Drosophila melanogaster: one gene and its partners. Changing the gene in region 1 together with any one later gene gives a genetic interaction. Each region holds a gene or a part of one and is shown on either strand. Other genes may lie near its edges. The genes, in order: Mhc, wupA, bru1 and up.

Region 1 (7,878 bases):
AAGGGGTTTGAATCTAAGTTAGTTGGATATGAAATGGGTTAGTACTACTTTGGTGTTGGGTGGGGGGAGGGCTGGGGGTCTCAGTGAAAGCTTTCTACTATGAGTATCCAAATATCCGTTCCTTGGGATGTTTCATGGCATAGTATTGGGCTACAGCTAAGCGGATATAGGGGAGTGGCCTAATCCATTTACGATACGATAGCGGTACGCAATAGTTAACCAACTAGCTATAAATTGCTCTAAAATAGATTACGATAGATCAAATAGTAGTAGTTTAGCCAAATAAATTATAAGTATCTAAGTGTCAATCAACAATATAAAAACGAAATTTAGAATCAAATAAGGAGAGGGCAATTACATCGGTGAGGGAGAACTCCTCAGCATCATCGATACTGGCTACAGTGACCTTGCCCTGGGAGACAATGTGGTAATCGTAGATGTTATCGGTCAACAGACAAATGTCTAGACAGATAGTGTGTATATAGAAAGTACATCGATTAATCTATGAAATCAATTTTGAATGGGTTTGTGTGGGTTGTGTTTTGTGTTCGTGTGTGTGTCTTGAACCTAAACCACAACTAAAAGAGATTTAAAAAGAACTAGATAGTTCGATGATTCTCTGAATGAAGGATGTATGGATGAGTAAGTGAGACGATTGTATACCTTTAACACCGGGAACGGAGCCAGACATGATCTGGTAGAAGATGTGGTAGGAACGCTCCAGGGACTGCTGGGAGATGACACGAGCCTTCTCCAGCAGATCTGTAATGGTAAGAGTATGACATTAGGATCCGGATCAATATTCACAACGTATTAAAGTGACAACTTACAGGTCTCAATATCAGCACCAGCCAGTTTACCAGTGGGTCCGAAGTGGATACGGATGAATTTACCCTGGTTTGCAAGGGGATAAGTTCAAATTAGTTCAGTTCCAACATGGTGATCTATCGAGTGCGGGACTACTTACGAAACGAGAGGAGTTATCGTTACGCACGGTCTTGGCGTTACCGAAGGCCTCAAGCACAGGGTTGGTCTGCACAACCTGATCTTCCAGGGAGCCCTTGCTCTTGGCGGCCTCATCGGTCTTCTTGGAGGCACCAACAGTGGCGAAGTACGCAATGACCTTCTTGGTGTTCTCAGTCTTTCCGGCACCAGACTCACCGGTGATCAACATAGATTGATTCACGTGGTTGGTCAACATGTCGACGTAGGCACCGTCAGAGATGGCGAAAATATGGGGTGGCACCTCATTACGGCGCTTGCCACGGTACATCTTAGCGCAACGGTTGGTATACACGGGGTAACGCTTGTAAGGATTGATGGCAACGCAGAAAAGACCGGAGTAGGTCTGTTTTTTTGGCCAAGAAAGATGGGAGAGAAGTTGCTTGTTAATATCGTGAAGATCTTTGCATAAATTCATATATGTTAGAATCGTTGGAAAGTTAGTTTTTGTATCGGGCGATTCAGAGCCACTCCAGTTGTCTTTTGTAGTTTTTAGCAACTGTTTCGGTTTTAAGTTTTCAGTTTTCCGAGTGCTCGTAATCGCTCCATAGACAGAGGAAAGTTTCAAATAAGTTTTTCTTATAATTACGATTTTTAGTAACAGTTTCGGTTGTCTTTTGGTCTACCAGTTTTTTGGTGTTCGGTTTTGTGTTATAAGTAATTTAAAAAAAAAAACTAACTACGATGTTTCAGGATACTTGTTTAAAGTTTTTTTCTGGTTGGATTGGGGTAATGATTGATGGTCTGCTTGGGGGTTTTCAGCTCGACTTTCATTGTGCGTTGAGAACCAATTCTTGTGGCTTTGATTGTGTGGTGTGTGTGCTGTGTGTAGAACCGTTTTCTTTCCAGTTGTGCGGTTCATCCGACTGGACGGCCAAGATTCGTTTTAATACAAGCTGGATTAGTGCATACGTCACAGGAAATGAGGAATTAGCTGGGGTTATGTTTTTTTTTTCATAGGGCTTAATAAAATGAGTTTCATAAGTCCGAAAAAGGAGCGAATGACTAAGGTTAGCAGTCTACTCAATTGCGTTAAATACTTCAAAGCTTCGGAGACTAGTTGCAGCTCTAATCGAATTTTGAAAAATTTTGGGATGTTTTTCTTTTTTTCATAAGTGTGAGTGATTGGCGGTAGATAAGCGGTTGGGTAAGAACATAGAACGCATACTTGTGTGCCACCCTTGATCGGCAATTACTTACGTAGATCAGCTTGTTGTAGTATCTCTGTCTCAAGTTATGGAGCACAGAGGCATCGTTAAGGTATGTCAAGTTGGACATATCCTCGGCTTTTTCGTATTTCGGGGGGTTCACTTGCTGGAGCAGATCTTTCTTTAAGTCTCGTGTCTGTTTATCATTTTCGTTCGGTTTGTCGGATTCAGTTCGATTGGTTATGTTTAGTTTTTGTACAACATTTGTTGGTTAGACGTTGGGTTAGCAGTTCGTTTTTGAGATTGAGAGAGAGAGAGAAGAGATACCCATACATTAGTGAGTTTCTGGCAGTACAACACTTACGTAGATGAGCTTAGCATAGTAACGCTGACGCAGATTGTGCAAAACGCAAGGAGTGTTAAGCACGGTCATGTCGGCCATATCTTCAATTTTTTCGAATTTTGGTGGATTGACTTTTTCCACCTTCTCGGATTTGATATCTCGTACCTAATCGTATATGTAGGCGAAATCTATAGTTTCATTCTAATTTTGTGGCTACATTATAAGCTATTGAAGTGTATGAGGTCATGACAAAGTCCCAGTCTTATGCTATCCATTGAAAAACCCTTCTTGTAGTAGTAGTAGTAGTACCAAGAAGATTTTCCCATTGGGTAACAATTGACTAACACTTTAGGTCGACCATAAGACTCTTCAATAGCTTTTTTTTTTTTTTTTTTATGCTGAAGCCTCGTGTAGACGATGACTTTACCTCTCCACCCTGCAGACCAACGGAGACGATATCGCCCTTGGTGGCCTTGATCTCACCAAGGAGATAACCCTCCTTCTCGTCGGGGATCCAGCAAGACTTCTTCGAGTCATAGGGTTTCGATTGATCGATACGCCTTTGCTCCAAAGACACGAACAGGTATGGGGTGGGATCCTCATCCTCCTGATTTGCGACTGGCTTCGGCATCTTGCTTAAATTTCGTTTAGAAACTTAAAAACTCGAAAAATAATATTGGGACTTTTCAAAATTTCTTTGTTAATCGCGTCGTGAGCCCAAAACTTCCCTGTAAATATACAAAAGAAAAATAATATTTATTATATGGTTCTCAGAAAAGCATACTATTTTTGGAATTTTGTTTCGAAGTCTGATTCTTTTATGGATTTTATGCTTTTGACCCATTTTGACAGCAGCAGCAATAGCGGACACTATAACAGTTCTACGCGTGTGTGCGTGGATAGGATTTCGAAATTTAATTTCGATTTCCAAATATGAACATTTTTCCCGTTTCGCGCTTTCGAAATTCCCGTTACCGTAACCGGATATTTATTTATGTGTGGCTTTGATTTTATCTCACACCTCAAAGTTAATTAGGCCTGGTCGGTGCTTGTGTTGTTGTTTTTGTTATAAACAGACAACAAGTGAATTGTGTGGGTTGTCGCCTAAATATAGATCACGGATCCGATACGAATATGTATATGTATACCACTTATATATATATATATCAGAATGCTTTGCATATATACGGATTTTCGGGGCGTTGGTATTTGTTACGTAACGCCAATTTTCATTTAGATATTTGTGTACATTTCTCCAGGTTTCTTTGTGAAAAAATCTACAGACTATTGATACGCCAAAACAATGCTTATTATTACAAATGTAGAGAGGTTAAACTGTCACCACAACTCACTCAACTGGTAACTACTACCGTTTGGAACGCGATTTCGATATTTTGAACAGGTATCTCGATATGGTGGCGTGTTCTCATACAAGCAATTCACGAGATCGCAATGATTCCTTTCAGTAAACTTCGAAGGCGGAACGATTTTCGACAATCCACACTAAATCGACAATCGAAAATTCGATTCGAATTGACGCGAACTTTTAACGAATGCGTTATTTTTAAAATTCTCGAAATTATTTCGAAACTAAAGTCACATACATATTCGTCTATATGTAATTCGTAATTTCGAGAAGCTTTTTGGCTCATGCTACCACATGGCACACATAGACATAATGTATAAGTATTGGCGATCTCTTTCTAATGTCTTTGGTTATTTTTAAAACATATTCGAAATTATTTCGCCCATGTATATGAGCCGACAACGAATTCGAGTATTCTAAATCTATTTTCTATAGTATGCATACGCATATGTCTCGGCCACACAGGTATTTGTGTATGAAATCATTTCGCCAGTAATTCGAAATGGCTATTACAGCATTTCGAACTCACATCGAAACACGAATTTTTCATTTGATGAAGTAACAGCTGGCTGTCTCTTTCTGACATTTAAATGATCTATTTGCTTTAGAATTTTTTAAGTAGTCGAAATTTAGAACGATGAAAGTCTTTTATTCCAAAATTCTTGGGCGAGAAAGGATAAACTAGTTTTTTGTGAGAGTCCTAAAAGTAAGAAAGAAGTTTCCTTATATCCTTGTTACTTCACTTTCAGATTTTTTCGCTGATATGATCGAAAGTCAAAGATTTGTTACACAAGAAGTTGAAGATAGTTGCATACTTCTCAGAAAACAAATTAACGCCTATAGGTTATGTTAAGTAACTGATGTACTTCCTAAGAAAAGATTGTTATTTGTAATCCAATTCGATACGATAATCCGAGGTATTCCGGTTCACTGTTCTGATTGTCACAGAGTTTTAATAGATCCGTTTTCGCTCGGATCGTAGTTAAAGCACCACACACACACTTTTTTAAATTTCTCGATTTTGTTGCATATATAAATATATATAGGTAGTAATAATTATTTTAGTTTTATGCTTTTTGACCAAAAGGTCAAATTGTTGCTGCTGCCGCTGATGCTGCTGCTACCGCTACTGCTGCTGGGTGGTAATATCCAAAAATCAGAGATCGCACATCAAAGGTGTTGCACTTACGCGCTCGAAAGCCGTTCTGAACCGTGCAACCGGTAAACTTGCCTTTTATACGGGGCAACTTGATACCCATGGATCCCGTAAGACCCCGAAAGCTTTTCGATTCGACGATCGGTGTGCGTGGCGCTGTTTCTGTTTCGGTTTTTCTTGCTCCCTTTTTCGGTCTAGCACTTGGCTGCTCTGATTCCTATTCCTCTTCTCTAGCAAGTGGGCATTTCTATGGGGGATTGCGGGATGGTGGATATGGTATATGTGTGAGCATATGATGCAATCAGGATCGTTGCGGAATCGAGAGCGGAAAGCTCCTTCTCCGACGATTGCCATTGCGTAGGCTCTCTCGCAATTCTCCCATTAGTCAAATAGTAAAATTCATTTCAATGACAACTTTTCCGCCGTGAGGCAATTCTTCTCCGCCGGAATCCCTCGCTCTTTCCAAGGGGAGCTTTCTTTTTACTTATTTCACATATCATTTCTAGACGCACACATGTGTGTATGGCATGGCATGGTGGGATCTTTATTTGTTTTTCTCGGTGATCATTTTTCGCTTTTTGTTCTGGTTTTGGTTTTTGGTCACCTCAATGCCAATCCGATCTGGCACCAATGTGGGTGGAATACAGGGGGAATGCTTGCGATCAGGCGGCGCTATGTGGTTTTCCTCCTAATCTGCGATCACTTTACGATCAGTGGCTAAACAGCTGTTCGAGAAGACCGATCGTATGCTATCAATGGCTACAAACATTCGTTTGGTCATCGTTCAGTTGTAGAACGAAAAAACCCGATCCTTTGAGTTAATGATTGATGATCTATCTAGCCTAAGGATCGGCCATAGCAAGCACATGTCCGCCAAAAGTAATGATGTGAACTTCAAAATAACATAGATGGGCTAGAACATGCAAGCAATTGCAATGCACGCAAAAAAAACGAAATAAAACACATAGTTGAAGAGATACTTTAGATATAGATAGATAGACAGAGAAATGCCACATCAAATCAATGTAGTCGGCGTCCTTCAGAGCAATGCGATGCGAAAATCTTTAGGTTTCAATGCTAAAATCCAATACAAATACGATTGCAAATACGAGTGCATTATGAAATTCGTGTTGTAGCGATTTGTCGAGAATTTATCAAATCTATAATGCTGACAAAGAGAATTATGATAAATGCCAACAGAATTGAAATAGTCTCCCCTCTTACAACGATGTCAAATTCCGACACAGAAATTATTCATAATTTTAAGCAAAATTACAAAATTTCATGTGCAACATTTTTGGCAAAGAATTATATGATAAATGTATATACACCCACTGCAAGGTATTTTCGACAAATACTTTTCGTAATGAGTTGGTCCGTCTTGAATATTCAATATTTAACAATGATTATTGTGTAGCGGAAAAAGAATACGCAAAAAAACAACTCATGAATTCGGACAAAAACAACTTTCAAACATTTTTTGAGGAATATTTATAGTTTGAAAAAGATTTCAGTTCTCATTCAAGTGTGAGTGTTTTTTTCCTTTATTTTCGGTGCAGGGTTTGCTGCTCTCTAGTCTTTTCTCACATATAAAATTATAATACTTTTTGCTAAGTTTCTGAAACAAAATCTGTGACATTGTCGAGCAGAATTGTGGGCAAAAAGACAAAAACATAAATTGAGCATTTAAAACAAATTCCAAGAACAACAAACAACAATTTAGCACCTGACAATAAATTATTTTGGGGTTATTTGTTGTACTTGTAAAGCCAATGAGTTGGTATAAGTTAATATTTAACATTTAATAATTAATAAAAAAAACCTTTAGTTACGATACATTTTGGTCTTCTTTATTATTCTAGATGGTTCTTCCCTTGCTCCCTTAAGATATTCGATGCGAAAAAAGCGAATCCAATATTCTGCTCCCAATTTTTTGTTCGAAAAGCACAAAAACATTTTCGTTTTGAGTCATTGACGCAAAGCAATTTTTGCATTTTAGTGTCAAGATGCTGTTTCTTCTTCTTGTGTATTTTGGCACTGGTGGGCCACCAACATTTTCCCAAGAGGGGTGGTGGGGGGTGCACATGGGGTGCTTGTCTACACGAGGCAGCAACAATTATTGCTTGCAATGGGCAATTTCAAAGATGCCGCAACTTTGCGATGTGCGAGGTCCTCCTCCGCACCTGCACCACCAGCACCACCGTAAATCGCTGCCAAACAGAAGACACTTTGAATGGCGTTTCTATCGGTGGGGTAGAAACGAGGATTGGTTGTGACACAAACGCAGATCACTGGGAACTATATGGTACGTTGCTTAGTGGGTATGTCTAAGCCATAAAGTCGGTTAGTGGATCATTTGATTTTCTATTAGGCTCGTGCTCCTTTGCACAACCGATCATAAATCATCGTCAGCGATGTCAGATGGCAAAAGTAGTACGAAGATAATTTATGGGTCAAGTACATATTTAACGCAGTTTTCGAAAAGATTCAACAAAATGCAGAATTTTGGCTCAAATATTTTATAAATTTTTTTTATTATCTAGCACCTTTCTAGAGTTTTTATTTTTACAAAATTTAAATCGGATTGGTATGACAAACACATTCGGTGTTTTCAGTATCAAGTATCAAAGATTACATTTATTCATAGTTCTTATGAATAACAATAATTCTTAACTATTTATTTAAGTATAAAACTTTATCGCTGTAACGCACTGTATCATACAATTTAAGATTTGTTGGCTTAAATGTGTCTGCAATTGCAACGTGTTTCGACTCCTTCCCGCCCAATCGGTTTCTGTTCAAGATATCAGTAACCCTGCCCGAAATTTTTGTCGAATGGTATTCCCTAAAAATTCTGCACAAC
Region 2 (7,825 bases), on another chromosome or scaffold:
CATTAATCGGGTGAGTATACGGAGATACGGATACGGATACGCATACGGAGCTAATTGAGCCATTGAGTTTCTGTACAGTTTTTAGTGCCTGGGCGAATAACACTTTTCACGAACATATATAGAGTGTATTATACAGTAAACAGATTGAGAGTGAGATAGTGTTTTAGATATATAGAAAGAGACAGCTGACAGAAGGTGTGTTTATATTGTTGTTGTTAAGCGTTAGCTTTTGATTTTGATCGTGGATAGACTTAGGCGTATTTAGGTGGCGTATATAAAATTGGTGGTGTTCGTGTACCTCAACATCCTTGCGTTTAACAACATACTCAAGATCATATTTCTGGTCCTCCAATTTATTAATCCTGTCATAGTGTTGCTTGATCAGAGATTTGAGTGTGTCTGTTCACAATGGGGTTTTTATATTCGGTTTTTCGGAGTGGTTCGGAGTTGGTTGTGGTTGTGGAATGGGGTGTTGGTTGTGTTGGAGAGGGTTGGTGGTGGTGGTGGTGGTGGTGGTGTGTGTGTGTGGATCGATTGGATATTTAACGGGCATGGGTGCGGCAAAAGAGAGATAGAGATAGAGACACATTTAGATACATGTTGCACACAGTGGTTCAGGCATAATAAGACTATGGTTCCTCTGCGACGTCAATGTGATCCGATGTGGGAGGTCGGTTATCCTGTGTGTGTTTGGTGTGTGTTTTTGGTGTCTTCGTGTTGGTGTGTTATGTAATTGTATGTATGTATGCGATAGATGACACTTGTTCAACTTTCAGTTATCGATTTTGGTTTATGCTTCGCGACAGGCGGGCTTAAACATATTGAATGCATAAGCCGCCTATCTGTTTTACTGATTGATTTCGTTTATTTCGATTATATGGTTTTTCATCCTTTATACTTTCGAACCGTGACCAGGTGCAGGGAAACCTCTAGGGATTTCCACTCGCCTGATCAGGGATCTTAATCATTCGGTTCGAGGACCGAGGCTACTCACCTTCGCTGGCATCGCTGAGATTCCTGGGACTGCCGCAACGTTCTTCGATGATGCGTCTACGTTCAGCCGCTTTGCGTTCCTGTTCTTTCTTCAGCTCCTCAGCGGCTTTCTTACGCAGCAGCAACTGCAAGTGGAGGGCTTTGATTAGCTGGCGATCATACAAAGCGTTGGTATATGCTGGAAACTTACCCTGAGTTTCTTCTTCCTCTCTGGGGTCATGAAACCCTTCTTGGCCTTCTTGGCCTTGGAGGCTTCCTCCATGCGCTTGCGCACCTCAGCACGCTTGCGCTCGATCTCAGCCTGTTTAGCCTTCTTAGCCTGCAAATTAAATGAACGAACAATCCGGGTATCAGCATGGTTTGCTCACATCCAAAACTGGACACAACACTAGATATGATATTCGAACACAGCACTGCACAGCACGAGACTTGGACTTTGACATGGACGTTAAGTTGAACGGGCACACACGTACACAAGTGTACCTCCTCGGCCTTCACTTTGGGGTCGTTGGGATCCTTGGGCGGACCGGCGGGAGCGGCGGCAGCTGCCGGAGCAGCCTTTCCATTGGCCGCCGGAGCAGCCTTGCCATTGGCCGCCGGGGCTGCTGCCGGAGCCGCCGGTTTGGCCGCCGCCGCTGGAGCTGCGGCCGGAGCTGCTGCCTTTTTCTGAAATCAAGTTAAATGATTGCTGGTTAGTTGCAGTTCTAGGAATCGAAAAAGTACGCCAGGCTAGGAGAAAATTGCTTAAACTTCAAAGGAACTATTAACATTTCTCAATCATCCACAATTATTTAAAGTAATCAAATAGGTTTTAAACTCATTTAAATTATATAAGAATGGTCAGCCAAGTTTTATTGGTTGTAATATTTCATTGATTTTAAACTACTTTAAATAGATCTCAAATTTCTCCAGGCACAAACGCGACGATAACAAAAAAAGGGACAAAGCAAGGCACAGAGACATAGACACACACTAACGATAACAGACATGGCTTTCAGTCAGACTTGACAGTTATCATTATCTGTGCTCCTTGATCGAAAGGAAGAAATGGCTGGGATTCAGAGGGTTGCAAAGCGCAGCGATCCTGTGAAAGCAAGAGAAAGGCAAAGAAAGGCTTGGGTTGCATGTTGCGTGGTTGCAAGTGGGGGGCTGTTGAAGCTTCTGGATTGTTCGGGAGCTTTGCTTACCTAAATCCACATCCAGTCAGGTTTAATCCCGTCCAAATCACTTCCAATTTCCAAAACAGTGCTTGCGATTAATGCCCCAAAATAGTTAACTGAAGAAGAGGGTCAAAGGTTAATCAACCGTTTCTCAAAGGCGGTAGAAAGGGGGCCGTTGGAGATACTCACCTCACCTCATCATCAGCCATTTTGATTTGTGTTTTTGGTTACTGAAAGTAAGAGAAATCGAGAGGTGAACTCAAGGAACTGGAACTGGAGGCAAATGGTGAATGGTGAATGGTGAATGGAAATGTTCGATGACATCATTTCCATTGCCCTATATATACACGGCTATATGTAGGTATATACATATAAGTATGTGTTTATATATATATATATATATGTTCCATAAATCAGTCGCTCTCTCTCCCATTCGCACACGCCTACGATCTCACCGGGGTACCACAGTGCGTATGCGCCATATTGCTGGCATATGCCGCATATTACGTATACGCAGCATTGGTTCACGCCGTATATGGGAGGACAACCCCAGCAAACGCTCATTTTCCCGCTCTCTTCGCTTAGCCTTTCTTTCGCACATTTACTTTGGCGTGGGCGTCTAGCTGCCAGAAAAAGACAACTGTATTGCTTTGTGGCTTTTCTAGTTGCTCTCTTTGATATCCGATTTCAAGTGAGCAAAGAGAGAATAGCATTTCCCAACTGACCGATCTCAGCCAGCTGATTTTGTTAATGGAAACTTTCCTACGATATGTTTTCGTTTTAATCAAGCTAAAAGTTAAATCGTTAGTATAGAAGTAACTTTTACATATGCATACTTGATCAGATGATTGATCGTTGTAATGGCATTTTAAAAATACATTTTATGCTGAATAACATATTGGGAATCTTTAAGTAAACATTATGAGATTTCATCATACGAAAAACCATGTCTACATCTTGAGGAATTAATCAGAATTTATTTGCTAGCCTATCCGTATAGTATGTATATGTATACATTTTTACTGAAATGAAGTCGAAGAATTAACACCTCACAAAGTACATATATAACTTTAAAAAGTCTACTAGCGTTGAAAGTAATCGTTAAACAAATTATCTATGCTGTTAGCAATGAACTAAAATAATGTACAATGAGTCAAAAGGAGATCCGTTATAGATTTTATATCCTTTGGAAGAAGTTGTATATTTTGGGGTTTTCACACCTACAAAGCCATATGGCTTAGTAGAACGAATTGCTAGGGAGCTAGGCGTATATTTAGCCCCAGCAATTTGCGCACCTTAGCGAAGGTAAGGCGTGAAAATTTTCTGACAATGACGACCTTCGGCTATGTACACTGCGAGAAATGCACAACGAATTTAAGCATAGTCGATGTCTCCACTCGGCATACATCTGAGAATGAGAGCGAGTGGGATGGCATCTACTGTATCTAGTATCTGACTGATTTAAAAATAAACCTGTTGATAGATACACGAATCTCGGATGCGAGAAATATGGCAGCTATTTATGATTTGCCGTACAATTTGTTTATATGTTCACGGAAAAAAAATAGTCAAATTGGAGCAACGATATTCGTATCGAATATGAAATCCAAAAGTTCGGAGAGCATTTATCCAGTTATTTTACGTAGGCGACGTGTGCGTGTTGTTTCTCTGTGTGTGAGTGTATGATTTTCTGTGTGTGCGTGTGTGTGTGTGATTTTTCTCTCTCTCGGGATCTCTTGTTCTCGCTGTGGTCTATTTTCAGGCACTTTTCGAGCGATTTTAGCTTTTTTGAAATGTATCTTGTATCTGCGGGATACATTTTTAGCTTTCGGCACGCACACACACGCATACACGCACACACACACGGCAACTTCTTACGTAATTGGCAAGCCAATCCGTGAAAAAAAATTCATTGCAAAATCAAGTCAAAATAATGTTGAAAAGTATTTCGATGCAGTTTTAGACACTTGTTAACTTGTATCACTTGAAAAAAAATAGCAAAAAAATTGTTTGAAAAAAAATGTTTGAATCCTCTGGGCACACGCACACGATTTTGGTCAGGTCCAGACATACATATAAATATAAATATATATATATATATGTATAGCATATGAGAAAGGACTGAGGATTTCACATTTGTTTTTCTTTGCATTAGCATTAGCATTTGCATTTTGCATTTTGCAGTTTTCTGTTTTTCCATTCCGCTTGTTCTTGCATTGTTGCTCGTTGTCAATGTTGATGGTGATGTTTTTCTTGGCTTTTTGAATGTTGCTCCGCTTCAAGCACTCACCTTCAAGGAATTAGAAAAAAAAGAAAAAAAATTCGGCTATGCTGTCGATCACACGAATCGGATGATACTGAACGACACAAAAAGACTGAACGGTCCGACGATCCACGGCAGACTATATTCTAGCGGCTAGCCACCCAACGGATACAGATACGGATCGTTGTTGATCGGATCGCATCGTATCGCATCGTCTCGTTCGGCTCGGTTCCGTTATGTTCCGAAAGCCAAACGTTAGCCGCCCACCTGCCCACCGTCCTTCACGAACGGGCGAGAGCGAGAGAGAGCGAGAGTGGCTCGGGGGCCGGGGTTATGTATCTGGGCGTGAGATCCAAAAATAGATCCCACCAAAACTGACATGGCAGAGCACAGCCCATAAGCAAAATCGAAATGGATACCGAAAAGTGTTCGGCTCACGATCGTCGCAGCCGAGTGGCATGCCGAATCGATTCCGAATCCGAATCCGATTGCGATTGCGATTGCGATTGCGATCCCGATCCCGTAACTCCCGCCCCGTCGGAACTGCAGACCCGTAAACCACCCTATGAAAAATACCGCTTGGAGAATCTTTGTATCTCTGTATCCGCATCGGTGTTCACAATATCGTATCTGCAGTTCGATGTGTGTGCTGGTGTAAACGGAGCCGCTTGGAATTCAATGCAATGGATAAAAATAGGTTTTGTTGCTCCAGTTGGGAGGCTATGCGATGGCGGTGCAATCGGTGTGCAATGAAAAAATCAGGGCCGGCGACTGGCTGCAATCTCTGGTTTCGCCAGCCCTGGTTAAAAAACTATAAAATATTATGCTAATTCTGGAAAATCCAGGGAATAAGCTTGTGCTGGGATATGCATATATTGAATATATATTCATTTTCAATGTAATCTACTTCAACAGCAAATACTAATGAAACTAAACATTATCTTAAAATAGGTGCATGCAGCGTTATTTTAAAGATTAGATTTATAACTCCTATCGAACATTTATCCTCATAAACATAACTAATATTTCGATGAGTTGACTGAATACAAATTACTGTTTTCTTTAGAAGACTGCAGTTTTTAAGAAAAATAGGTTAATAACCCTTACATACATATATTGCTGAAAATATATTAGATAAAATTGGGGAATCCCATAGATTCTTAACTTATTTAATTTGAAGATTATTACTATTTAATCCATCCAATATCATTTCCAGGTCTTAAAGTAATTATTCCGTTTGTGTTCATTTAAAAGGTTTTTCTTAGACCGTGCCACTTTGGACTTGATCTAGAAAAACCATTTTAACGATCTGTTTCATGTTGTTCGGCTATTTATCTTGCATGTTGGCCGCTGACATAACTTTAAGCTTTCGAATAATGTGTTCCAAGCGAATCGTACGAACATATAGCCTATATCCGTCTTGTTAATATCAATGTTTTAGCTGAATTACTTTGGCATCGTCAGTCTAAATATAATGTATATACGCAATATGGCCAAATACACACATACACATATATATATATATATATATATGTATATATATATAAATTTCTATATATAATGGTAAACGGTGCGAATGACGCTGCAACACACCTACTGAAAATCACGCATACGCCCCGTAGACGAAACGCCTTGCAACTTTGGTTGAAAGTAATTTTCGAATTTCGCCAAGAACGAAAGACGAATAAAACGTTTCGATCACGAAACCATGTCTATATATATATATATATATCGTATATGAATTTAGATATACATAGACTGTCTATACGTATGTTCCGATTCTATAAACTTTCAGCAGGGAGAGCAACAACAAAATATTGTTGAAAATAATGTTGCTTTTCCCTGCTCATCTCGTTGTTCTTGGCATTTTGTGTTTCTGTTTGTGTTGCTTGTTTTTGATTTTGCCACGGCTTGTTCTAGCTCTATTTCGAAATGTATTTTCGATGATTTCTATTTTGTTTTTCCCCATTTAAATTTAGAATATGGCTTCCAGGGGGGAAATCGAAAAAACGGCGACTGCGGAAGGGCAGTGGGTTAGCTTGGGGCAAAATGTTTTCGTTATTCGTAGGGAACTTGATCAGTTCGTCTATGTCTGGACGAATCTATTTTCGCCTTCATTCTCGTTCCGAGCGTTTTTAAACAATTCCGCTGCGCGCCCAAGCAATTTTTGCCTTAATTTATGAATTTCGAAAATGTTTTTCGTTTGAAAAAACACTTTTAATATTGTGCCTTATTTTTGGGCCTTTGGCAAACAGGAAATATTGAATCGGACGGGGGTGGGCTATAATGCCGACCAGTATTACTAGAAAAGCGGTAATGTCTTACAGCGTCGAAAATGTGTATACATTGGCAATAAGTAAACTTTAATAAAGCAATGTTGCAACATGGGCGGAATATTTGCACGAATCGAGGCCTTAAAGGTGGGCAGTGTGGTGTGCCCAGTGAATCGAGCTTAATTCGGGGTTAAAGGCGAACCATCGATGGTCAGCTGGCTGCGAGTGCGTCAAAGCAAAACAAACGTCATAAGCGCCCACCCCCGCCCCCCCCCTCTGAGCCGCCCACTGTGGGCGTGGCCTTGCAACGTTCGCTCTACCTGACAACTATTTGTCGCTGCTGTCGTCGTCGTCGTCGTCGTCGTCGTTGTCGTCTGCCCGCCGAACTCCCCCTCCATAACCAGAACCAACACCACTCCCCAGCTGTCGCTGACCCATTTAGGGTTATATACACACAAACAGGCACTCGCATCCTTATCCTCCCTGCACCGTATATAAATATATATATGTATATATATAATATGTATATGTATTTATATATGCTGCATGCACTCGCATTATGTATGTACATAGGTGCTGGGTGCACTCATGGTAGCCGTCAGAATTCGCTTACTCCGGCTGGTCCTGCGAAATATTTAAATAACCCTGCCCAAGTTCGCCTTAGAGTTGGCAAAGTTATCGCAAATTTAATTAAATCAACTAAACGGATTACAGTTTCAAATGCACTTTTGGTGCACGTATTGGTTGCACATCTCCAAGGATTAACTGCGTTTGTCGGTTACAGTAACTAATTTTGTTGCATCAAAGGGCGGCTGAAAAGCACGAAACTTGTGCTGTGGCGTAAGTATAATCAATTATTCAGAATGAAACTTTTGCAAGCTAGTATTATGATAAGAAAGTGGGGGAAATAATGCGATTAGCATGGATAATAGGATTAATAAGTAGCTTTATTACAGAGGCATTTATTTGGCATGAAGTTAAATGTCTTTATATTGTAGATTGAAAAATGCTTTTATCTAAACAAATACCTAGTTAAATGCTGCGTACGTTATTATTTATAATTTATTTATAATTTCTATAGCTACACTACTGCTAACAGTTGGGCCATTTCTATTTGGCTTCTTTAAAACTAGCTC
Region 3 (8,013 bases), 4.6 Mb from region 1:
AAGTTCAATGTTTGTGGGGGCAGATAAAAAAGAAGCTTAAAGATTCTTTTTTATTCGCTCGCTAGCAACCTTTTTGCAATGGGTCCTTTAGTGTTCTTAACATTGTTTTTTCTTTGTGTGAATTGTGATTGTTTTGTATGTATTTTTTTTATTGTTTTTACTTGCTTGACTGTGTGTAATATGTTGAAAATGTGGATTCCTAGTTCTTTCATTTTTTTTTCCTAACGCATGTCAAACATGAAAAGCAGCTTGTTTACGCTTTTCGTATACGATTCCTCCAGCTTTCAACATATGCTTCACTTATGTTCCAAGCCATTTGTTCGATATTTACAAAATAAAGCAGCTCTGACAAAACAAATTTATATTGATGACGATGCCTGCGAGTGATGTATGCAAATGGCTGTATTTAAATGGCTGTATCTTAAACATTATGCCTTTACAGCTGGCCAGTCCATTTACCTTAATCAAATTAGCTAACTTAGAGTAAACTTTTAGGACCTGAAATTAGTTTGGTAACAACCCTTTTGGGCTAAGTTAACAGGTGAGTAAGCTCAGGTATTAAATGGAGATGGCATTAACGTAGTAGACTTCACTTGCAGATGTCTTGAATGCTATTCAAAGGAATAAGTTATTTGTTCTCCAACCCAATTTATTTTATTTTCTATATTAAGAAGCTTTTAAATGTCATTGGGTTATATTACTAGAATAAAGTTTTTAAAATAGAATACAATTCGCTAGATCTTAAAAAAACGTTCCTGTTAGGGCTTTGTGGCCTAATTGTGACAATGAATACATATAATTTAAAAAATATATTTATAATCTTTAGTATGTTGTTTATTTAATGTGCCTAAATATCATGGAATTTTGAGTATCTTAATGCATAATTGACCAGCAAATATGAGTACTTAATGTTTAATGATAATGTATTTGTTAATTTGTCTTCAGAAAATACGTTCGTATGGGCTTCTTGCATTTGCAATGCCCCTATTTTAGTAACATTTTGCTCAGAATTCTGTGTGCAAAAGACAACAATGAGCAACGAGCTTTGCTTTTCAGTTTATCAGTTTTTCCCTACAATTACCATGGTTATCCTTGACAATTATTTCCGCACAGAAAACTTTCTAAATGCACTGGATCCCCTGTAATAATTGCCTAGCCCAAAAGACCCAACAAAAATACACAGCCTTGGTGGTGCCACCTTAATTGCAGGCGTCTTTCTCTAACCAAGTCAACTTTCCTCCAACCAGCACTCAGCACTCACTTATTATTAAGTTGTTTTCGAAACTAGGAAGAGGAAAAACCGGCGGGCGGAAATGGAGGAATGGAGAAAAGGAGGAGCTCTCCCGGCAAAAGTTAAATTATAAAATCGTCAAAAGTTGACGAAGACATTTTGCGCCTATGAAAACAAATACACGAGGAAAGTGCTCCACTAAAAAATAGGAGGGAAATGCGGGAGCAGGAGCCACTTAAGATGCTTAGCGCCATGGCAAGCGAAAATAATGACGCTCATAAAAACTAACTAAACACCAAAATAAAGCAAATATATATAGGTATATATATATATACATATATTTGTTGGGCTGGCTTTTTTAAGCTGGAACGACGCTCTCTGAATGACAACGATAATGATGTGCGATAATGTTTGTTGTTTCTTCGTTTGCTTATTTATTGTACTTATTCGTTTATTGTACTTTTTCATCCCACAGTGCTGGAAACAATGATAATGATAATAATGAAGATGTTATTGTGTTTCTCCTCTTTGTTGTTGTGCAATCTAAGACAACTGTCAAAGACTTTGCCAAAGGATTAGTCGACTCGGCGCCTTTCGCCCTGCTATACCCTGTAAAAGTTGCGCTAAGGATATATTACACATGGAGTAATTTGGATCAAATATGGGTTACCAATTTTTTTTTTTAATTTTTAATTTTTTTTAATATCATGTTGCATTTACGATAAAGAAATTTGCAACTGAGAGATTTTTTTTTGATTAATGACAAAAGGACATTTCAAGAAAAGCCTTTTTGAAATCGATTTAAAATTTAATTCATTTGTAAATGGTACTATAAAGAAGTTTTAAGTTAGGGATATATTAGGATATTAGGGATATTATCATATTAGGGTTTTGGAAATTGAAATATGAGGAGAAAATATATAATATAATAATATATAAGTAACATAATCTTTATAAAATTTGTTAACGTTTATAGTAGTATTTATTTTGGAAATTTTAAATCTACAACCATATAGCAATGATTTCAAACAATTCATGTAAATATTCTTCGAAATATTCATGCAAATTTGAAAGAAAGACTCCATGTAATCATCAAAAAGTAGCTTCCTACATTTTCTATAAACAACACAATAAGATACGGGGTATTCTCGCAGTCGCAACGAGTTTGTGTATCTCGTGACTGGTGTCTTTGCTCCTTGCCATTACTTTCGACCTGCTCCTATCGCAGTCGTAATTAAAATTGCACCAGACGTAGTGAAGTTTTGTACTTTCTTCGGCATCAGATAGTCCTGGAAGCCTCCCCTTCAATTTAATCGCTTTGACTGCATGCTGGTTGTAATTTATTTATTGCCGAAAATCGTACCCTCTACTCTTGATTTGCCCCTGCCGCCGCTCGTTGTATTTTTTAATTGATTAGAAACTCGAGTTTTGTTTTCTTTCTTTGCCTTCAATTGGCATCGAGCCAGGAAATTTTCAGCCTCATTGAATTTCTTTCGGTTTTTTTTCCACTCACCCTCTTGACTTTCTTTCTCGACTCGCCAATTTTAGCAAATTACTTTCTTGGCAAAACTTTTATATTTGTTGATTCATTTATTGCTAATGTCAAACGTTCGACTTGGTGAGCTGAACGACTGATATGAATCAGTGATAGCAATCAATTATGGTATCCAATTCATTTGCTTTTTTTTAAATTTAATTTAGTTTTATTTTAGCAAAGTTCATAAAAAATAAAAAATGAACAGCGAGAGCTTTGCATCCCAGTTGGCTGCGCTAACGCTTGTCAAATCGATTCAATATAGATTTTTAGTTGTAGTGTTTCCAAATCAGATTGTGTAACGTACATATAATTTTATAAAAGTTTATCAATTTTTCGGCTTATTGGTGGCAAAATTCTCAATGTGTTAACCTTTCGGCCGTACCGCGTCACTCTTCCATGCTTTTATCAATAATTCTTAAGAAGAAAATCTACAAAAAAATATACAAAGTATTTACCCCCACAAGACTACAAATGAAATAGCCCAGTTATCCGCTTTCGGCTACAAATTCTACAAGTGTAAAAAGGAAAATAAGAAGAAATATAGCAAATTCCCGCAGCAAGTGAAATAGGTGAGTGCAAGAAAGTTCTTCAAGTGTTCAGACCAAAAGCGGATATTCTAGTTGTCCTTGAGTGTGAATGGAAAGTGGGTTGGTGTGCTGTGAACTCGTCCTGTGTGCTGTGTGTGTGTGAGTGGGTGTGTGCGACACGGTGCTTGGGCTTCCACGCTGCATGACAGATTATCGCAAGGACCTTGCCGTCCTTTGAGTGTCCTCGACGGTTATTGAAATTGCTGCAATTGAGTTCGGAGTGCTCGAAGCTATTTAATTGCTGCCGCCTGCCTCCAAGAACTTGCTTTTCACCACTTCTGTCGAAGATGAGCTAACTATTTTGCTGATTTTTGGTGGATTTTAATCTTTATATCTCAGAAATATACTATCGAATATAATCATCTATACTTAATTTCAATATAAATGCTGGTAAATTTTTGAAAAGTGTATATAATATTGCTTAAAAAATGTTCAATATGTAAAACTCTTAAATGACTTATAGTTAGTTTCTAGTCCTTGTTCCATCCACTGTGTCTAATCGAAGCTTTTTGGCCATCTCTGGTTCGGGTCAATAGGAAAGGAGTAGGGAACAGAAGGAGCAGCTAAAAGTCCTCTTCTTTTTCCCGCAGGTGTTGTAAGCCAGCAACGAGTCCTGGAACTGAGCCAAAGCTGCTTTCTCTCAAGTGCTAACTAATTTCGTTGTTGTCCTTACCGCCTCTGCTCCACATCTCGGGCCCAAGGATGCTCTCTGCATCCTCGGGCTTAGCCTCATTCCCTGGCTCATCCTCATCATCGGCGTCTTCCTGCAGTTTCGTTTTTGGTGTCAGCAACATTTCTTCAACTGGTTTCGTTTGCCCTGCCAGTCAGGTTGTTGTCCTTTTTGGTCCTCTGTGTCCTTTATAGAGTTCTATGCGATTTTTCTCTTGTTTTTGATTTTTATTTTTTCATTTGCTCCTTCGTAGTGCAATCTTTTTGGCAAACTCTTGTGTGGCGCACAGTTGTTGACTCTGTTTCGGGGCCAAGCCAATTCCTTTTTGGCCTGGCCAAGTCATCTCTTGGCTTGTTTCGGCGTTTTATGCACTTGTGTGCTCCATACCTTTGGTCCACCCCTTTGCCAAATACGCTCTACACATATGATCTGGCTTCTGTTTCGAATTTTTATGGCCGTCGTCTCAGTTGTCCTTTCTTAACTTGGCCGAAAGTTGAGTTTCCTTCGTTGGGGCAAGATGTCTCATTTGGATCGTAACACTTAGCTTAATGTTTACGACGTTTGCCGTGAAAATAGTTTTCAACTGAAGTGAAATAGGAGGTTTTATAGTTTTGTTCGGGTGTATATTTTGCGAATAATAATGTTCCTCCTAATGACCACAAAAAAGGAATAAACGTTTCCTATATAGAAATTTTTTTTCTATTTCATAGAAAAAATCTTCTATTCTTCGATATGTTCAATTTCAGATCATAGCAACTCTTCATATATTTATCAGCTTTATAATTTTATGAAAAAAAGTAATATTTAAGTGAAATCTTTTTGCTTTCAAGATTTGAAATTAAATAAAGCTTTTATTAAAAGCTTTTGCGTCAAAGCTTCAACGTTGCTAATGGCAGAAGCTCTCTCAAGATCAGCTGTTTCTCAATGCCGAGCATGTGGTTGGTTTCGTTGTGAATGCCAAAAACAACAGCTGATCGCGCGGCGTGGCAGAGCGAAAAAGTAAAAATCTCTCTTCGTTTTTATCGAAATCGGCGCAGTTTCGCCTAATTTCTGCGGTGTTTTCGTGCAACACGACTGTTTGCCGATTGTAAATAGGTGTAAAACAACTTAAATGTGATTAATTTTGCAACTAAATCTGGACAAGTGAGTTGTTACGACATCGGTGCACCAAGTAAAGTTGTCTAACCCAAAATTTTCCCAGATAAAACGGCGAAAAACAAGTCAACTAAGAGAAGTTCTCTTCTTCAACGCCGATCTTCGCTCCAACATTTGCAACATTGATGGGGTTTTTTTTGTTTAAAAACATAGTTCGCAATTCTGATAAATTATTCGGAAATAAAACTCCAACTAGAGTTTCGCTATTGTCCAGATTTTGTGGCACTTCCTTGGCTGGTAAAATGGAGAAGGTTTATTTGAGAAATGCAAGTGATACCAAAGAATTGGACATTGTGTTTCGCTTTGTGAATGAGAATTTGAAAATAAACCGGGAATTCAATTTCCGTCGCCAGATGAATGAGCCCATTGATGCGATATTGGCCAGGATTCAGAGTAATATTATTGGCAGGCTTGCAAAGTCCTGCAAAAAATCAAAAATCAAACCGCCGGCAGAAATCAATGTTAAACTTCTGAGTGACAAATATGGTGAAAAATTCAATGAATTAACATTTGAGGATCTAGTCGTCACCCAAGATATCAGCAATGTAAAACTGCAGGTATTAGATACGGTCTACGATTTGGTGTTCAATCCACCGTGGATTTCATCCCTAAAATTTTTGCCCTCATGCATATTGGCAGGATTTGTAATATACCCCACCAATGTTCAGATACAATTCGGAGAACGTCAGTTCAGCAAAGCAGTTTGGTTCAAGGCCAAAAAGCCCACAGACACCGATTGGGAGGTGTGCGGAGAAGGATTTCAATATCTAGTGACTCCTGAGGATATTGGTTACCATTTGAAGTTCGTGGTGACGCCGGGTAATGCACTGGGAATGACGGGTCCTGTGGTGGAGAAGATAACCAACTCTGCAGTGCAGGAATCTCCCGGGCGTTGTCCATTCCAAGATCGCCAAAGGCACACCACGAATTCTTTGAGCGAATCGAATGAAATTCGTGTGGTGTCTTACAATTTGTTGGCCGATTTATATGCCAGTAGTGACTATGCCGGTAGCACTCTGTTCTCCTATTGCCCGGCAAAGTATCTGCAAATAGACTATAGGAAGCCACTGTTCATCAACGAGATCATCGGTTATAACTCCGATATTCTCTGTCTACAAGAAGTCGATCAGCGAATATTTGATTTTGATTTAAAGGAAATTCTAGAACAACCGCCGTATAACTATCACGGCATAATGGCCCCGAAAGGCAAATGCGCTGAGGGAGTGGCAATTTTCTTTCGGAACTCGCGCTTCGATCTCTTGGATTCTCAAATCCTGCATTTGGGGTCCAATATTCCCGCACTGCCCGTATTTGAAAGCCTTTGGAATAAGATCAAAGTTAACGCACAATTAGCAGAACGAATCTGTGAACGGTCCACCACTCTGCAAACTTGTTTGCTTAGAATAAAGGGTACCGATAACTACGTTCTGGTGGCCAACACGCATTTATATTTCCATCCGGATGCAGATCACATTCGCCTGCTGCAAATGGGATTTTCCATGCTATTCGTAGAGCAATCTATTAGCAAAGCTATAAAGGACTTTAACATAAGTAGCCACAAAAACATTGGACTAATATTTTGTGGCGATTTCAATAGCGTTCCCGAGTGTGGAATCTACAAGCTGATGACGGAGCAGCTCGCCGAAAAAACACTGGAGGACTGGCAAAGTAATGCCGAGCAGGCGGTTTCGAATGTGGAACTCGCGCAGCCTTTCAAAATGGCATCAGCCTATGGGGCACCGGAATATACCCACTACACCACCCTCTTTGCGGGTTGCTTGGACTATGTGTTCTACCAAAACGATCGCTTCGAAGTTCTAAAGGTGGTGCCACTGCCAACGGAGGAGGAGTTGAAAGCCAATACTGCGATACCATCGGCTGTTTTTCCATCCGATCATGTTGCTCTTGTAGCAGATCTCAAATTTAAGTCAGATTGATAAATTTTTGGGCTTGCATATAAGAAAAATTAAGAATATCTCGGGGATTTCTCAGCATAAATAAATGTATACGTATGCCAAATACTATGCTTAAATGTAATAATACTCATTTCTTCTTTATATACAAAACAAAATTCGTTCAACAAATCCTGGCCTATTAACAAATGCTTCTTCTCCTTTATAAACTGTGGCATATAAACAAAAAAAAAGAAACTGCGTAGATTTAAAGTAAAACACGGAAAATAAACCGAAATAAATTGCGGAATGAAGTGACAACAAATTGAGTAAATCCCTGAGTGGCTTATAGCTCGCCTGCAAGCAGCTGGCTTTCCCGGCATCTGCTCCTGTTTTCCGGCTGATTGCAGGACGCAGAGCAATTAACGTGAAAATTCGCCAAGGAAAAACGCTCCGTTGCGGAGGTGGCGCCAACAACAATGGCGCGAAAAGCTGAAAGGAAATCCGAGAGCGAAAAAATATCCCAAGCCAACTGAAGTGATTTTCGCACTAATTAACTGCACTTAGTTGACACATACCAATCTATTCACACCGCCACTCCCACACAAAGTTGTCGTTGGCCATAATCAGAGCCAGTGCAGCATTTTAATTGGTTTCCACAGTGCTGCCAATATAAAGTCCCACATGTGCAATCGGAATTTTCCACAGAAATTATTAGAAAGCAAATGAAATGTGGCCCGATGTGCGGCGCACTCTCGTCGAAAATAATAGTACTCCTAACTTGATTTCTATGTGAAATGACTTTTGCTAAATACCATAAGATATTTTAAAAAATATTTTTAAAATATTTCAAAATCTCTAGAATACTATAAACTATTCTATGCCATAAATTCAATAAATATAGATGCATATTAAAGACTGCTATTCATTTTTCTTTGGCT
Region 4 (8,071 bases), on another chromosome or scaffold:
ATTGGCCACTACCACATCGGCCCTCTCGCTCGCACTCGTGTAACCACGCCACGCAATTGTTGTTCTATTCGGACCACGGCGCACTTATTTTGTGTTGCAATTATCTATCTGTCGTATTTAACTTTCTTTCTTTACGATTTCCAAGCGATTTTGTTTTTATTCTATTTTCTTGTTTGTGATAGCGTATCGATATCAGGAGGCGTTATTTTGTACTCCAATTAGATGTGCATTTGCCGGTTATCGATATGTTTCGCTTCGACCAACGGCATTATCGACTACACCAGTACGAAAATTGGCGGTTACTTTTGAATTTGAAATAACCATTGAAGAATTAGAATCACGCTAATATGAACGAAAATAAAACTTCACAGTGTAATTTGTTTTTGTATCTCATTAATCTTTATTAAGAAACAATACAAGAAATATATTTACTTTAAATACAAGATAAAATACTATTCAGAAAAAAAGGATAATTAAATTTTTTGATTTTAATGAGTGAAGTTACAAGTTTCACGAGATCAGAATTAATGCATGGTAAAAAAATGTATTTACTTTTATACAAAAATACCCGTAAGCATCATCCAACTTACCAAAATCGAAACTATCATTACGAGTATGTTGAAATAGTTGTAACATTTTGGTTTTAGTCGCGATTTTGTTGGCTTGACTACTGATACACATTTCCAAGTGTCAACAAGCCGAAAATTAAGTCAAAAACAAATTCTGAAAATAAACGTGTAATACTATACATATAGTAGACGGAGCATTAGGTACTATATAGCCAGACTGTGTATGATGGCTCTGTTCTTAAACGTTTTTATATTTTCTGCTGTTTTCATCTTGGGGTTTCTTCTATGTGTCTTTTTTCTTATGGATTTTTCCGTTGTTTCCTTTTCCCCAATTTTTTTTTGCTTTTTTTAATTGGTCTGTTTTCATTTCATTTAATTTAGTTAGAGCGTATTTTTAAATCGAACATCCAACATATAGATTCTAAAATTGGCACACATCGCTTGTTTGTTCTTTACAAAATATGTTTGCTTGACCTGATCTTATTCATTGAAAAGTTTATGAATTATATATTTTAACTTTAAACTGGAAAGTGCATTGATTTAATGTGTTAAATACATTTAAGTTTATAATAGGAAGCTCTTACTATTCTGGTCACTAAAATCTAAAATTGAAAAGAACATATTTCAGAATTTTAACTGTTTTCTTGCATCATACACAGTAGAAAAAAAATGCAAGTGACACAGCCAACAATAGCTTATTATTTAAGATTGCACCGATTGCAATCAATTCAAATTATTCGACACTTTGGATACGCTGTTCATTCATATAATCCCAGGGCCATCGTTCTTGTCTGAAATCAAATATTTTTCCAGATCTTGGATAATGTTTATGTTATTCCTGATCTATGCAGATATTAGCCACAGTTCCCCGTAAACATCGCCCCAGAAAGCTAACCTATAGATAGACATATAGAAGATATTTAAACAAATACATATACATACTTTAATATATATATATATATATATATATTTTTTATATCGGGCATCTTCGTGCATACGATCGGCACTAAAAACCGAAGGCTACAGACGAATAGCGCCCACACAAAACGTCCAAAAATAGAACAACAAAAATTCGAAACTGTGCTATTTGTTATTCCCTGATTTTCGAATATTCTGACTTGCCTTTCTAACATTCTGATATTCGGACATTCAGAAGATGATGCGAATTGAAATTTACTTGAATACGGCATACGGCATACCCGACTTTCCACCCACTTTCACGCCCACATATGTATATATCTGCACATGTCCGTACTTCTGGTCTACGGATCACTGAGCTATTTGGCCCGATGTTTGCAATAGGTTCGTAGTTGTTTATTGAACGGAGGATGTTATGTGAATCCAGCCAGATGGCAGGCAAAAATTGGAAGCAGCTAAAAAAGCGCTTACAGATGTCGTTTATATCTGGACAGAACACGCCCGTACCATTTCATGCACTAAATCCCAGATAACTCGAACTGCCCACCTGTGTCCCATTGCGATTCTGTAGTTTTGTGGTTTTTGGCAAGCCATGCATAATACCTAGACCCATACATATCACATACACATACATATCTAATTATCTATGCATACATATCTATCTATCTGCGTATCTGGTGTGTGCATTTTGCATTTCGCAGAGGTGCAGATACAAAAATGTTCTAAATTTAAGATACTTGGTAACCAAAAACGAAATCAAAACAAATGCCGAAACTTTGCGACTATATAGTAATTTTACTATTGGAGAATATTGTAATATATATAATTTTAAAATAATATTCATCGCATGTTTTTAATTTACACAGAAGTCTATTTATTTGAACAACTTGTTTATGCAAGGAATTAAGAGAAGTCTTAAATTAATTTTTCTATAATCATATATAATGTAATGTAATCATAATATAATGTAATGTAATCATATATAATGTAATCATGTATGTATAAAAATTTTTACCCAGATTTTGAGGAACTTTGAGATAGCCCAAATATTTTTTTTTGCAGTATTAATAATTTAAGAAGATACAAGTGCAAGCGAAAAACTAAAAATTTTTTTTTTTTTTTATATTCTTCTAGAATTTATATCTAATTTTATGAAAAATTTGGCAAAAAAAAAAACAACGGAAATCGATGTTGATGAAAGTACATTTTTAAAATATTGTAAGTTTTTGCTTTATTTTAATTTTATTAATACTAGAATACAGAAACAAAATTAAATACAGAACAAAATATGTTTCACTACCCTTACTTAATACAAATATTTCTTATGTGTTATGATGTTTATTAAACGATATGAAAAAATTAATTTTTTTGGCAAAATTTACATATAGGAAAAAGAGATTTTGTCAAATTCTTCAAATTGATTTTGTATGCTTCGAAAAAATAACCCAATAAAGAATGAATTAAATTCGATAGCTTAAAGTGCTGCAAGGCGCGTAAGTGTATCTGAAACTATTTGCCAAAAGTATCTGTTAGAAAGTAAAATAAAAAAAATAGCATAGAAAAAGGAGAGAAATAAAAAAAGAAAATCGGAACAATGACGAATAGATTCAAGTGTTAGACAAATGGCAATGCGATGGGGCCACCTAAGGCCGTTCGACGTCAGCAGTTCGATCGCGATATAGATATAGGTAAATAAATATATATATATATATATATATATATAGGGGGTGATCGGTGATCGCGGCGGACTGGGTTGGAGATTTTGTAGGGCGTGCACTCTGGGGTTCAAATGCTGCAACGATCCGCTGAGGAATCCAAACTATATGTGCTATATATCGGCACGAACATCTGTACGTATATATTATAGAGCAATATATGCAGGCCGACTTTTTAATGGCTGTGAAATTTATGCTCTACGATATTTGATTCCAAAAACAAATGTGTAAAATGCCGCCAACGCACCGAACGTCCGTATGCGCTATATACTTATTGTATGATCTAGTTATGTGCGTGCGCCATTATGGTCTAATGTATAGTATATACTAATATCGTATGCCTCATCTCGCTCTGGCCAAAATGGAAAATTGGAAAACTCGACGGCGGCTGTGTGCGTGTACAAGTTTATGTTTCAGCTGCAGCCCACCTGAAAAATTCACCCAAAACACATCGAACACAGCCAACACAGGCAGGCGCACCCACCACCACCCACTTGTTGCCACATCGGCCAGCGATATGTGGCATATAGCGCTGGCCTGCTCGCACACATGGCCAGCTATTGGCTATATAGAAAGGCGATCGGTGTGTGCGTGGAAATGGCTTTTCCGCGAACGCGACGAAAAATTCTTTAACATAACGTGTAGCAGCGCTTTTCATCGTCAGTTTGGTTAGTCGAACCGCAGCATTCGCTCCTACGACGTCAGCTGCTCGGACTTCAATTCAATTTGTTTTTCTCCCTAAGTAAGTTTTTTTTTTTCTGTTTCTGCTCTACTGCTGCTTCACATCTCCTTCAAATGCTGCATCACCAAAAAAATAAAAAGAAAATATAAAATAAACTTGTGTGCCTAAAAACGAAAAGAAAGTTATCGAAAACGAGAAAACCGAATCCTTTGCGAATAAACCACGAACCACGAACATCAACAAAAGAAAGTTACGAATTGGAAAATCCTAGTGTTATATAACATTTTATTTTTTTTTTTGAAATTTTTTTAAAGTGCAATCTACGAACAAATAGTGCGAATAAATGACTTGAAAGCCACCAAAAAAACGAACTCTGAAGCCAACTTTTTCAAAAAATTTTTTTTTTTTAAACTTTTTTTTTTTATTATGGCTAAAGGCTAAAAATAATTTGAAAAAATTCGCCCAGGCATTGGCGGCGCCAAAAACAATATTCAACGGCAACTACAACAACAGGATTAGCCGCAGCAGCAACAACAACAACAAAATCAAAAGCAACAACAATGCCAGACAGGAATCTATACATATAAATATACATATACATATATGTATATCTTTTTGCTTTCTGAAAGTGTTATATGATCTGAGAGGAAAAGTTCTCAAATTTTTTTCGACGAATTTTAAAAATAAATTCGATTCGTATGTGTGCGCGAGCGAGTGTGTTTTTACCTTGGCAAAATGTCCAAGATACACACACACACACACACAGAGAAACACACACACACAGATACGTAGAGTGAAAACTTTTTTCAATAGCTTTCCGCGCAGGCGCCGATCAGATATGTTAAAGATATAGTAGGCGAAAACGAGACGGAACTATAGCCACCCACACAAGATCGATGGCGAATAGAGATCTGGAGATTTTTGGAGGATATATATAGGACTATAAATGGAAACAGGGCACAGATAGATTGAATTAAAGAAAGGGAAATTTGTAGAGTAAATTCGATAAGGATATAATGACAGGATATAAAAACAGCATATGACAGTTTTATGTTGCTAGGCAGGAAGTAGCTAACACTTACTCAAACTTTGAACTTGAAAAGACAAAAAGTAAGATTCAAAACCATGTTTTTGAAACTAACATGTATGATCAGTAACATTTTTGTATATGTAAGTGTGAAAAGACGATAGACGTATATTTCTGATAGTCTGTCGGATGATATTTAGATCATTACCAGTTTCAATTGAAAAGTTTGTTCAATTTTTCCAGAACTTTTCTCAATACATTTCACATCATTTCCAAGCACTTGCCCCAAAACTGACCCAGTTTATCTAAGGCTAAAAATACAAGCTCAGCAATTGCACTTCCACGCAAAAGTGCAAAGATTATAGAAATAGAATATTCATAATCATAGAAATTTCAAATAGCATATTAAATATATAAATTCGTGGCATAATAACTGGCATAGATATATACAGGCGATCTATGAATGGCATTTGATTTGATTTTCTTTTCATTACACACAAGTACGCCCAAATATATATCAATACATATACATATATAAATTGAAAAGCTTCTTTAGATTTTCCGATTTAGTGCCAAGGTAAAAAAAAAAACGAAAATTTTCAAAAAAGGCTTTGTCCGAAGCTTTTTGATGTTTTCGGAAGCTTTCGGCTCTCGGGAAATTCAATACTGCCCCAAAGTCTATTTTTAATTGAGAAAAAATCGGAGGAAAATGAAAAAACACACATACATAGATTGGACTACGACTCTCTCCTTCGCACACACACAGTTATAGATTGTGGATATAGATAGCATGGGAAATTAAATAATTTTAGAGCAGAGCGTACGGAATTTATCGTTTATTTTTTTCTTCTTGAATTTGAAAGATTATGATGTGAGGACGAGACATTGTTGCCGGCTATAAAAAGACAGGTCGCCCTGCCTACATATACACAGCGGAATCGCATATACATATATATTATATACATATATATAGGGGGAAAGATCCGTCTAAATATAGAGTTATCGCAGGGCGATCAAAGGCTGCTTCAAGTACAGTGAAACCCTGAATAGAAAATAGACAAGGGGTTATCAAAAAGGGCAATCATTTGTTGACTTGTTTGCACACCTGTATTTCGCTGTTCTATTGTTGTTGCTGCTTTGGCTAAAAAAGGGGTTATATTTAATAAGCATTATTTTTAATATCAATTGAATTCAAAAAGAAATATAATAATGGAACACATTCACGTTTTTGGTGTCTTTCCTATTCTATTACAATGGCTTCCTAATTTAATCTTAAATATATGCATTTGAAGACTAAACTAAACTTTTTATTTTCTATATATTGTTATTGCAGGTTTTTTCAACCCTAAACCGTAGCCATGTCCGACGATGAAGAGTACACGTAAGTAGAACCCATGGAATATGTAGGACAAGATGCAAATATTAAGTATACGACGCGTATGACCGCGAACAAGATTTAAAAGTGTGTAAAGTAAACAGATAACTTAAGTAAAGTAGCAAAGTTGAAGAGAAGTATTCGATGGTCTCGTTTGAACCCTTGTTGTTATACGTACTAACTAATTCAACGATCAGATTTTTGTGGATTCTTGTAAGAGAACTTTTTGTAATCACATTTACCAGTGGCACCTATTTTGATCTGTACTCCTTTCTATCTATTTCCACGCATTGTCATCCCTGAACCCGAACCGAAAAACCGACCACGATCCCAAAAACCTCCACAACCACAACCCATGAATCTGTTCGAACAACCGCTAATGTTGTCGTTTCGTTTCTTTTGAAATCAACAACTAATAACAATCAACAACTATTCAACAACAACCACACGACAATTCAACAACAAATCAACAATATCACCTCTGCACCCGTGTGCCGTGTGTAACCCTGCACTTTCACTCCAAAATATATATATAAAAAAAAACACCTTATTCAAAAATCTTAAACCAAAAAATATAAAAAAAAACCAAAATTCGTTTAATTACGAACTCGAAAGCAGCTCCGAGGAGGAGGAGGTTGTCGAGGAAACCCGCGAGGAGACGTAAGTACATTTTTGTTGCCGATTTTTGTCGACATCTTTTGTTGGTTTTGGTGCAGCAGCCTAAAGAACTCGATTGGTGTTCACTTATGTCTATCTTTTTTTTTTTTTTGTTTTTGCCCTAACTATAACAAATTTTTTGATTTTTTTCGAAACCGAACCTTGCCCACCATTTTGTATTCCAAATTTTCTATATGTGTTGTATTTTGTCAATGTCTGCAATATAAAAAACCACCCTTTTTTTAAAATTGGTAGAAATATGTATTCCCCAAAAAAGATTTGAAAAAAAAAAAACACCCAGAAACCCGAAACCAACCCAACATTTTTGTTTTGTGTACTCGTCTGTAAATAATTTTATTTGTTTATTAATTTATCTTTAGTTTTTATTTTTTATTCTGTTTTGTGTACATTTTTGTTATTTCTTTTGGTTTTTGTTTTCAATGTGTTGTTGTGTGTCTATAAAAACCAAAATTGAATTTAGAATTAAAAGTATACGATCACAAAATCAATATCCGATAATTGTACAAAATTTACTAATGGAACCCGAGAGCAAACCCCACCCACCCACTGTTCACCCCACACCCACTCAAGCAGCGAGTTCATAGTTCATACCCCCTCCCGAAAAAAAAAACCTAGCGAAAAATTGGCAAATTGTGTATATAAAAGCTGTGTGTATCCCCACCACCACCACCCACCACATGTGTATGAAACTGTGTTCAAAATAATGGTAGTAGTAATTTTCTATAAAAATAGAACAAATATTGCGTATACGTAGCTCGGAAAAGTCATCGATTTTAATAAGATTGATACAAAATAGACAAAAATTGATTAATTTATTAATATTAATACCAATTTTATGTTAAAAACAACTAAACATCCACTTATCCATTGCGTATATTTGATTATCATTTAATAATTGAACTATTATTTTGAACCCAGTCGGATTTTTACTGTGTATTTTTGTATCACTTGTAACACGTCTTTTGTCTATCTGTCTATCTATTTTTTTACCATCGTATCTCCCGACTCTCCCCACAAGATAATACATTTCCAAAGCCGTAAAACGCAATTTCCAAATTCTAAAAAAAAAAAGACTTTTGACCAAAAGTTAACTTTCTGCCTATCGCT

The links.
Region 2: of Mhc (region 1) and wupA, changing one suppresses a phenotype caused by changing the other (phenotypic suppression), as found in Drosophila melanogaster (4 studies listed by BioGRID).
Region 3: of Mhc (region 1) and bru1, changing one suppresses a phenotype caused by changing the other (phenotypic suppression), as found in Drosophila melanogaster (one study listed by BioGRID).
Region 4: of Mhc (region 1) and up, changing one suppresses a phenotype caused by changing the other (phenotypic suppression), as found in Drosophila melanogaster (2 studies listed by BioGRID).

What each region holds. Positions count from the first base shown.
Region 1 is NT_033779.5:16,763,927-16,771,804, reverse strand, and holds the start of Mhc (myosin heavy chain), read right to left. Parts: upstream 5,072-7,878; 5' UTR 5,049-5,071; intron 4,880-5,048; exon of another isoform or gene 4,695-4,879; intron 4,029-4,694; exon of another isoform or gene 3,846-4,028; intron 3,222-3,845; 5' UTR 3,125-3,221; coding exon 2,921-3,124; intron 2,659-2,920; coding exon of another isoform or gene 2,515-2,658; intron 2,347-2,514; coding exon 2,203-2,346; intron 1,349-2,202; coding exon 968-1,348; intron 895-967; coding exon 831-894; intron 763-830; coding exon 664-762; intron 463-663; coding exon of another isoform or gene 359-462; intron 1-358. UniProt on the Drosophila melanogaster protein: Muscle contraction.
Region 2 is NC_004354.4:18,112,264-18,120,088, forward strand, and holds the start of wupA (wings up A), read right to left. Parts: upstream 4,563-7,825; 5' UTR 4,444-4,562; intron 2,472-4,443; exon of another isoform or gene 2,384-2,471; 5' UTR 2,363-2,383; coding exon 2,348-2,362; exon of another isoform or gene 2,343-2,347; intron 2,270-2,342; exon of another isoform or gene 2,181-2,269; intron 1,660-2,180; coding exon 1,477-1,659; exon of another isoform or gene 1,467-1,476; intron 1,313-1,466; coding exon 1,184-1,312; intron 1,119-1,183; coding exon 995-1,118; intron 400-994; coding exon of another isoform or gene 299-399; intron 1-298. UniProt on the Drosophila melanogaster protein: Troponin I is the ATPase inhibitory subunit of troponin in the thin filament regulatory complex. Involved in the development and maintenance of muscle and nervous system. May also be involved in the cytoskeletal apparatus.
Region 3 is NT_033779.5:12,202,794-12,210,806, forward strand, and holds the start of bru1 (bruno 1), read left to right. Parts: upstream 1-3,049; 5' UTR 3,050-3,337; intron 3,338-4,915; exon of another isoform or gene 4,916-5,422; coding exon of another isoform or gene 5,423-7,117; exon of another isoform or gene 7,118-7,317; intron 7,318-8,013. Other genes in the region: CG31759 (uncharacterized protein), read left to right, coding at 5,423-7,117.
Region 4 is NC_004354.4:13,598,291-13,606,361, reverse strand, and holds the start of up (upheld), read left to right. Parts: upstream 1-3,783; 5' UTR 3,784-3,944; intron 3,945-3,996; exon of another isoform or gene 3,997-4,133; intron 4,134-4,707; exon of another isoform or gene 4,708-4,994; intron 4,995-6,244; 5' UTR 6,245-6,269; coding exon 6,270-6,292; intron 6,293-6,581; exon of another isoform or gene 6,582-6,901; coding exon of another isoform or gene 6,902-6,904; coding exon 6,905-6,946; coding exon of another isoform or gene 6,947-6,950; intron 6,951-8,071. UniProt on the Drosophila melanogaster protein: Troponin T is the tropomyosin-binding subunit of troponin, the thin filament regulatory complex which confers calcium-sensitivity to striated muscle actomyosin ATPase activity.